2 linked regions of the Oryzias latipes genome follow. The protein of the gene in region 2 purifies or fractionates together with the protein of the main gene of each other region. This does not show direct contact. Links are inferred from orthologs where the notes say so. Each region holds a gene or a part of one and is shown on either strand. Other genes may lie near its edges.

Region 1 (3,750 bases), on a different chromosome or scaffold from region 2:
TAATAAAGGTTCCCTCAAAGAAGACAAATGGAAATCTTTGAAATGAAGCAGCATAGAAACATTAAAGCATAACCCGTGTCTGATAAAGGAACCAGGTTAGTCACTACAGACACTAGAAACGTGGTTACTTTGGATCCTTGACCAGGAGGCGGCGAATGAAGTCCTTGGCGAGCTCGCTGGTGTTGCTGAAATACTCCTCGTCAAAGTCGTAGTTGACGGCAGAGATGTTGGTCAAAGTCTCCTGCTTGGTCTCGCCCAGAAACGGAGACGCTCCGCTCAACCTAACGCACAAAACCACGTCAGACCCGACCCAGGACGACCCCACCCCACCCCACCCAACGCTGAGACGGGACGGCTGACTCACAGGATGTACGTGATCACGCCGATGCTCCTGCAAAGACAACAGACATGAGTGTGGGCTGGACAGGTGTGCAGCTTCAGGTGAGATGCTGAGGGGGGAGGGGGGGGAGGCTCACCACATGTCCGCCTCCAGGCCGAGCGGCTCGTAGTTGACGATTTCAGGAGCTGCAGACCAGAACGCCGTCATTAGCATCAGATCTGAGGATCGACTCCAGCAGAACCGCCGGAGAAACTCACCCACAAACTCTGGAGTCCCGAAGATGTTCTTGAACTCGTTTCCTGCTTTAATCTGGTGAGCGATCCCAAAGTCGATCAGCTTGATCCTGGGGTTGGGAACGTTCTTGTCCAGCAGCATGATGTTCTCCGGCTGAAAGATAAGATGCAGAACATTTCTGGACTGAAGCCTCACCCAACGACCTTCAAGGTCACAAAACGTCTTTTTATGTGTTTGTGGTGTTCTTAAGGCGGAATGACTCGCTGCCTCCTTAAGGGGGTCAGATTGAGGGTTTTTTTTTTTCTGGTGGCGACTCCGACTTGTAAATCCCTCATGAGAAGCAGCAACAACGTCCTTTTCCCGCCATGCTGCTGACCTTGAGGTCGAAGTGAGCGATGCGTTTGGAGTGCAGGTACTGGACGCCGTCCAGGATCTGCTTCAGGAACTGCGTGGCCTCCTCCTCGGTCAAAGACTCCTTCTCTGCGAGGAAGTCGAAGAGCTCTCCTCCGGACACCAGCTCCAGGATCAGGATCACGTCGGTCTTGTTCTCGAAGATGTCGTGCAGGGTGATGATGTTGCTGTGCTGGATCTCCCGCAGGATGTTGACCTCGCGCTCGATCTCCTCGCGGCTCACCCCCCGCCGGCTGGAGGACAGACGCCGCTTCTTGATGAACTTGGCCGCGTACTCGCCGCCCGTGCTCTTCTCCCTGCACTTACGGACGATGGCGAACTGGCCGCTGTGGAGAAGCAGAGGCGTCAAAACCTCCAACCGCACGTTTGACAAACGCCAAACTTGAACAAAGAGAACATCTGACAGAAATCGGCTTCTTGGTAATAAAATGACAAATTCAAGCCTTTAGGGGAGTTTATTAAAGGTAATGAACAAAAACAGATGATCTGATGCATCAAGAGGAAAATGTGACCAAAAAAGGACAAAAACCAAAAGCAGCAGCTTGCAGAGCGACTGCTCCCCTAATGAATGCTGGAGTCAGCAGTTTTTTGAGCAGAGACGGACTTTTGGACGCAGCAGAGGTAGAAGGGGGCCGTGAGGCGCCACGTCACATTTCTGCTGCATTACTGCACAACATTCACTTCGCTCATTCCCAAGCTGAGCAGCACAGAGGAGCATAAAAACGTTTTACTTTCGCAGATGGATGGTGCTCCAAAAACTGACTCCGGAGACTGCATTTCCCAGAAGGCATTGGCATGACAGGTGACGTTTCACAGACGCTCTTACCTGCCCAGCTCCTCTCCCATCTCATAATGCAGCTCCACGTCCTCCTGCCTGAAGCCAGCCATGCTGCTGACTTCACTGATGATCGTTACTGCCATGGAAACGGGAGAGTCATGTCAGACACCGACAGACAGCCAAAGTGTGTCCATCCGCGAAGGAAACTAACACCCTAACGCCGCCGGTCACCTCCGTTTGGGTCTGAACGCCATATTTGGGCATCGTGAGTTTCTAGACTTTGGGGCTGGTGTCAGCCCTCCACATACCGGCCCTCCTTACATCATCTCCTCCAGCTGCGAGCGGCTCCGTTAAAGGGACATCCACACACAACCGACGAGCGGGTTTCCGGTTAAAAAGAAGCGGCAACACCGGGGATCACCGTTTTTCTACCGGTGATCGGTAGAAAGCCCCACCTCTGTTACAATTTAAGTAAATATGAACACAATTACATTACTGAACTTTTTCACGAATGATCGCAAACAGATGCTTGAATACTGCTAGCCTCCCAGAGCTAGCATAAAAACCCGGTTTAACGGTTTAAAAACTACTGTTCAAGCCAACAGAAGCGCGTTATTGATTCCCAGGCATGTGTTTCCGGTGAGAACGCGAGTATTCAGAAGTATTTCTACTGGAATATAATAAGATACTCACGGGAATACTGCCGAGGAGCGCTGCTTTCATTAAACTGAATCTTCAGCTCGACGAACAGACGGAAAGCTAACAGGAAGCTTCCGGTCTGGCACTTCAAAATAAAGGTCTGTCAAACGACTGACATAAAACATCAATGTTCATGTTATGCTTTTAAATTTGTTTTATTTCTTAAACAGCTTCAATTAAAGTCATTTAAAATAAAATTATACCCCATGTATGTTTAAAAAATAAGCATTGCATTACAAATTGTTTTACTCTTATTTTTTGTTCTGTATTTAGAGCCATTGGCCCTTATTAAGCTTTTAAGTCATGTTTTTGTCATGTGCTATTGTTCATTAGATAAAGAATAAAACACATTTTAAAAAATTAATAAATGGAATTAAAAAAAATTCACTTTACAGGTTTGTCTTTTTCCTTTTTTGCTTTTCCCCAGACCCAGTTCTGATGTTTCCAGTCCATTGTGACGGTAAGGGGAAAGACTCATGCATAGTAAAGGGAAAAGCATTTTCATTACCATACATGGAGGTAATCAGAGCCTCCAGTCAGCAGAAACAACAGAACATATGAATCAATAAAGACATGTATAAATATATCCATGTGTGAATGGACAAATGAATGAATACATTAATAAATTCATGAAAAAAATGAATAAACAAACCTAGATCTGCCATCTAACCTTCATGGAGACAAGCCTCTCTGATTTGGTCACTCATCTGTTTCCAACGACACTATTTTGATTTTTTTTTTTTTTTTTTTTTTTTTCCCGAAGAAAAAAATATTCTCCGTCCACTTAGTCATTACTTTTCATTTCTTTACTAAATTACTAATTTACTAAAGAGCTTTATTTTGAAGTCCCGCTGGTTTGCTTTCCGGTGCGGGTGATGATCTTAACACAGGCAAAAACCTGGCAGAAGGGAGAACATATGGAATGACGTCATCGAGGCTCTGCAGCAGTACGTCAGTACACAAGACTGTACCTGCGGGGTCTGCAGTATGCGTCTAAACTTCAAGGGAATCCACAAAGGGAGACCAACGGCAGCGCATCCCGTTACTAAACATTAAAAACATAGAAGTACAACATCAGAAGCGGGATCGCTCTGGTGAGGCTGAAGAAGGCAACTCTCCACCAAACAACACTATTCTCATACTGAGGAAACGTCTCATGACTCACGTTACTGTCTGCGGATTTGTGCTGGTGACCTCACCTGAGCCTTGCTGCCGCGGGATAAAAATTTAACAGTATTATGAATGACTCATAAAATATCAAGTATCAGCTTACTTCAAATTGTAACCG
Region 2 (3,650 bases):
CAAAAGATTTGAATTCAGCAACCTGATGGATAAGAGTTGCGCGTACATCACGCTGTATCATCACAGGTAAATGCTTTTGGGGGAAAAAATTGTGTATTTTTTCATGTTTGAAGCACCGGTTTGAGAACCAATTAGGCACCAGAACTGTTTCCAAAAGTGTCGGTTTGGCACCGTATAGAATCCAAACAGTACCCATTCCTATGTTAACTTCTTTCTTGTCGTGGTCGCAGAAGCTGCACTCCTCCTCATTAGGCTGCAACCCCAATACTTTCACGCTGCTGTGAATTTGTAGGCATTGAGATCAATTGTTTCCACATCTGCATTGGCTTCAGAAAATTGAGCAACTGAGCAAATCCAAGCAGCTGCCGGACACTGTAATGTGGCGAACGGCACATTTAAATATAAGAATCCTATTCTTTTCTGCTTGGTGTTTTCTTGACCTTCTTTTCCCCTGTTGAGGTTCTTTTTAATTTCCACCCTCCTTTCACGTGTCCCACCCTTTTCTTTTTGTGCTTAATGGGGCAGCAGGAGTCCAGTCTGCAGAACTGCTGCCCTAAGCTTAAAGCCGCAGAGCCTGGCGTCAGGAAAAAGTACGCTGCAGTGCAAAGTTAGACGCACCAGGAGCTCGGCTTTGTACGTTTCAAATAACGATTTAAAAAACTCAGAACCTCCAAGTTCTTTGTCAATGATAATTTTAGAAATGAAAAGTCTTAAGCCCTGAAAGAAAAGTAAGAGCTTTTAAGATATAAGACATCCTCGATATAAAAGACATCCTGAATGAAAAACATGCTTTTTTTACAGCATTGCCACTTTGGATTTCAGCATCAAAACATATTTGTCAAATAGATTTGGAAAGAAATAAACAGTTTCAATTTCAAGTTTGGATAAGACAGTTTGTTTAAATTGTGGTCAAATTGATCCTTTTAGGTGTATCTGTTTAACTAACAGAGTTTCTGTTAGTTCTGTTGTAGAATGTCCTTTGTAAATAAGGAGAGCACCTACCGGTGTTTGTTGGGAGTATGACCGACTCCAGGACTGAGACGTCACAGGTGCGTGGGGTACCGTCCTTCCCAAGCCTCCAGTTTCCAGAGTGGGAGACTGTGAGCTCCTGGTTCGCCGAAGAGCCGGTTCCTCTGCTTCCTTAGTGTTTGTAGCAGCACTGTTGATTCTGCGCATGTACACCTGGGGCAGGAAACCACACAAAAAATGTTATATTTGGTAAATTCACTCTTATGCGTCAATGTTTTTTAGGAATGTAGTAGCTCACACGTCCCCTCACCTCTGCAGGTGATGGCTTGGTTACCTTCTGTGCTGTCAAACCAGCTGCTGCTCCGCTGCTTACGGATTCGTCTACATCAAATGTCGTTGCACGGTATGCCCTCCATGTCGTTGAAGCCTCTGCTTCATCTTCAGACCAGTCATCCAACATTCCTCTTTTGGCTTTTGCCTCGTTTCCTGGCGTGGCACCCTTGTTTCTCCAGGTGCTTCTCACAGTCACATTCTTTGTGTCTGGTATGCCGTCTTCTGGAGAGTACTGGCTTTGTCTTTGGCTTCTCCAGCTGGTGACTGTAGTCGTGCTGCTGCTGCTCTCAAAACCGGATTCTGAATCATTGACGTCTGCAGACGTGTTGTCTATGGGCTGAGCGCCAAGACTGCCGCGCAGGCTGCTGGAAGAGGAGGAGGAAGAGGCCTCCACCATGGAGGCTTTGTAGAATTTGGACCTTGATGAGTTATCACCGTGGTTGAAGCTCCCACAGTCCTGGTCCTGGAAAGACCGCATGGTGATCTCACTTTTGGGTATGGAGATCTCATATGGGATGGAAATACTGCCATGGTGGTCAAGGCTGGGACCTGGCAAAACATCAAACATGTTAAAAAAAGGACAACACAAATCAACATGAATATTTTCTAGTTAAATATCCTTGACCACAAGTCTTTCTTTATCCAGTTGTGTTAACAAGATATTGTCAGTTGTATTTATGGCACGCAGTGACCTAAACTTGCACTCCCTATGCTTATTTTTTTAAACAGTTATTTGAAGGTATATCACTACATGTTATTATAAAACATATTGAAAAACCACAAGAAAGGACGACTGCTCCTCCATTTCTTACCTCAGTCCTGAGTCTAACTGCTGCATGAAGTCAAGGGGTGGGTTAGTATTAAAGCTCCAGAATAATTATTAGCTGTAAAAACCCATCAGCTCTTAAATTCCTAAAATTAAGCTTTGAATGTTGTTCTGAACCCACCTATGAGGATGTTGCTGGTAGACGTATGGCGCTCCTTGAGGGCCGTCGGTTCACTGGACACACTGCTGCTACGACTGCTGGTTCTGGAGGAGCTTGGGTCGTTAGGGTAGAAGGTTATACTGCTGGTCATTTTACTGGATGTGCTCATCACAACTGGCTTGGTGGAGATCCTGGGTTTGCTGTTTGTAGATAAAGGTTCAGAAATCATAATTTCCTTCCTGTCAATCTCAGTGATGGCGGGCTTGATGACGGCCTTTGACCTGAGAGCTTCTCTTGGGCTGTACACCCTCTGGATCTCAATCACAGAGGGGGTATGCGTGGGTCCCTGATGCCCCCCATCAGCATACTGAGTCCTGTGCATCTCCTCATCAAACGAACTCCGAGAGGAAGATCCCTCGGAATGCGAGTCATGAACATGGGGGTATTTGGTATATTTGGAGGCTGCATTCCTACTGCCTACAGTTGGAGCAACATCAGAGATTGGTTCTGGTTCTGAAGGCCTTGAACTTGTGGATTCAGTTTCAGAAGCAGAAGAATGACCCTCTGAGCCCTGGTCGTTGGGCAGCAGTGGAGTGAGGTGAGATCTGTAGGCTATGTATGATCCATTTGTTTTGGCTGAACCAATAGATCCAGAGACCGTTTCTTGAACCTGGTCAACAGACTCGTGATCAGAAGCAGAAGCCAATTCTTTCTCAAACACAGCATCACTGTTTATGATACTGGATGTTTCCGGCGGCACATCAGAGTTATTTGATTCGCTGTCGCTACCTACACTCAAGCTTGAAAACTTTCCTTTGCTCTTTTTAATCTGCCCATCAGGCTGTTTAAGGGCGGTCCTCAGTGGCTTCTGGTCGTTTGCTGCTGGGGGGTAACGGCTAAGAACAGACACTTTCTTCATTTCAGTAGAAGCTGTATTTACGGAGTTGTATGTGGTGCCTCTGGTCTTTTCCTCGGGAACCCTTGATGTGTCCCTCAGTCCATTATTGGAGGAAATCAAAGCAGCTTGGGTTTTAGGCGTCCTTCGGAACTTGTGTGCAGGACTAAGAGCTCTCCTTGCAGACTTTGGAGAACCCCCGTCAGAGTAGCTGAGCTCTTTGCTTCTTAGTTTGGTTTCTCTTCTGTGCTGAGGAGAGAGCTCCCTGTTCTTGCGGCTGGGGGAACTTGGTTCTGAACCAGCTGCTGCGCTTCTAAACTTTGGCTTCTCATGTCTGAAGCCTCCTTTTACAATGATCTCCTCATTCTCAGCTTTGCCGTTCTCCAGAACCTTGGCAGGGCTGTGGGGGCAAGTTTTAGATTTTTCACTGCTATTTTTATCCAAACTACTTACTCCATTTCCTCCCTTTCCATCTTTCCCTGAGAGCTGCGCCCTCAGTTGTTCCAACTGCTCGTTCAATTGCCGAG

The links. The genes of interacting proteins can lie anywhere in the genome.
Region 1: the proteins of luzp1 (region 2) and dapk3 purify together in Homo sapiens (affinity purification with mass spectrometry; 3 studies listed by BioGRID and IntAct, with this or other methods). This does not show direct contact. The link is inferred for Oryzias latipes from reciprocal best matches to the Homo sapiens genes LUZP1 and DAPK3.

The regions. Positions count from the first base shown.
Region 1 is NC_019875.2:30,205,056-30,208,805, forward strand, and holds the start of dapk3 (death-associated protein kinase 3), read right to left. Parts: upstream 2,564-3,750; 5' UTR 2,457-2,563; intron 2,424-2,456; exon of another isoform or gene 1,995-2,423; intron 1,900-1,994; 5' UTR 1,874-1,899; coding exon 1,812-1,873; intron 1,312-1,811; coding exon 951-1,311; intron 728-950; coding exon 598-727; intron 526-597; coding exon 477-525; intron 392-476; coding exon 365-391; intron 282-364; coding exon 129-281; intron 1-128. UniProt on the Homo sapiens protein: Serine/threonine kinase which is involved in the regulation of apoptosis, autophagy, transcription, translation and actin cytoskeleton reorganization. Involved in the regulation of smooth muscle contraction.
Region 2 is NC_019880.2:6,615,503-6,619,152, reverse strand, and holds part of luzp1 (leucine zipper protein 1), read right to left. Parts: coding exon 2,250-3,650; intron 1,852-2,249; coding exon 1,280-1,851; intron 1,183-1,279; coding exon 1,003-1,182; intron 1-1,002.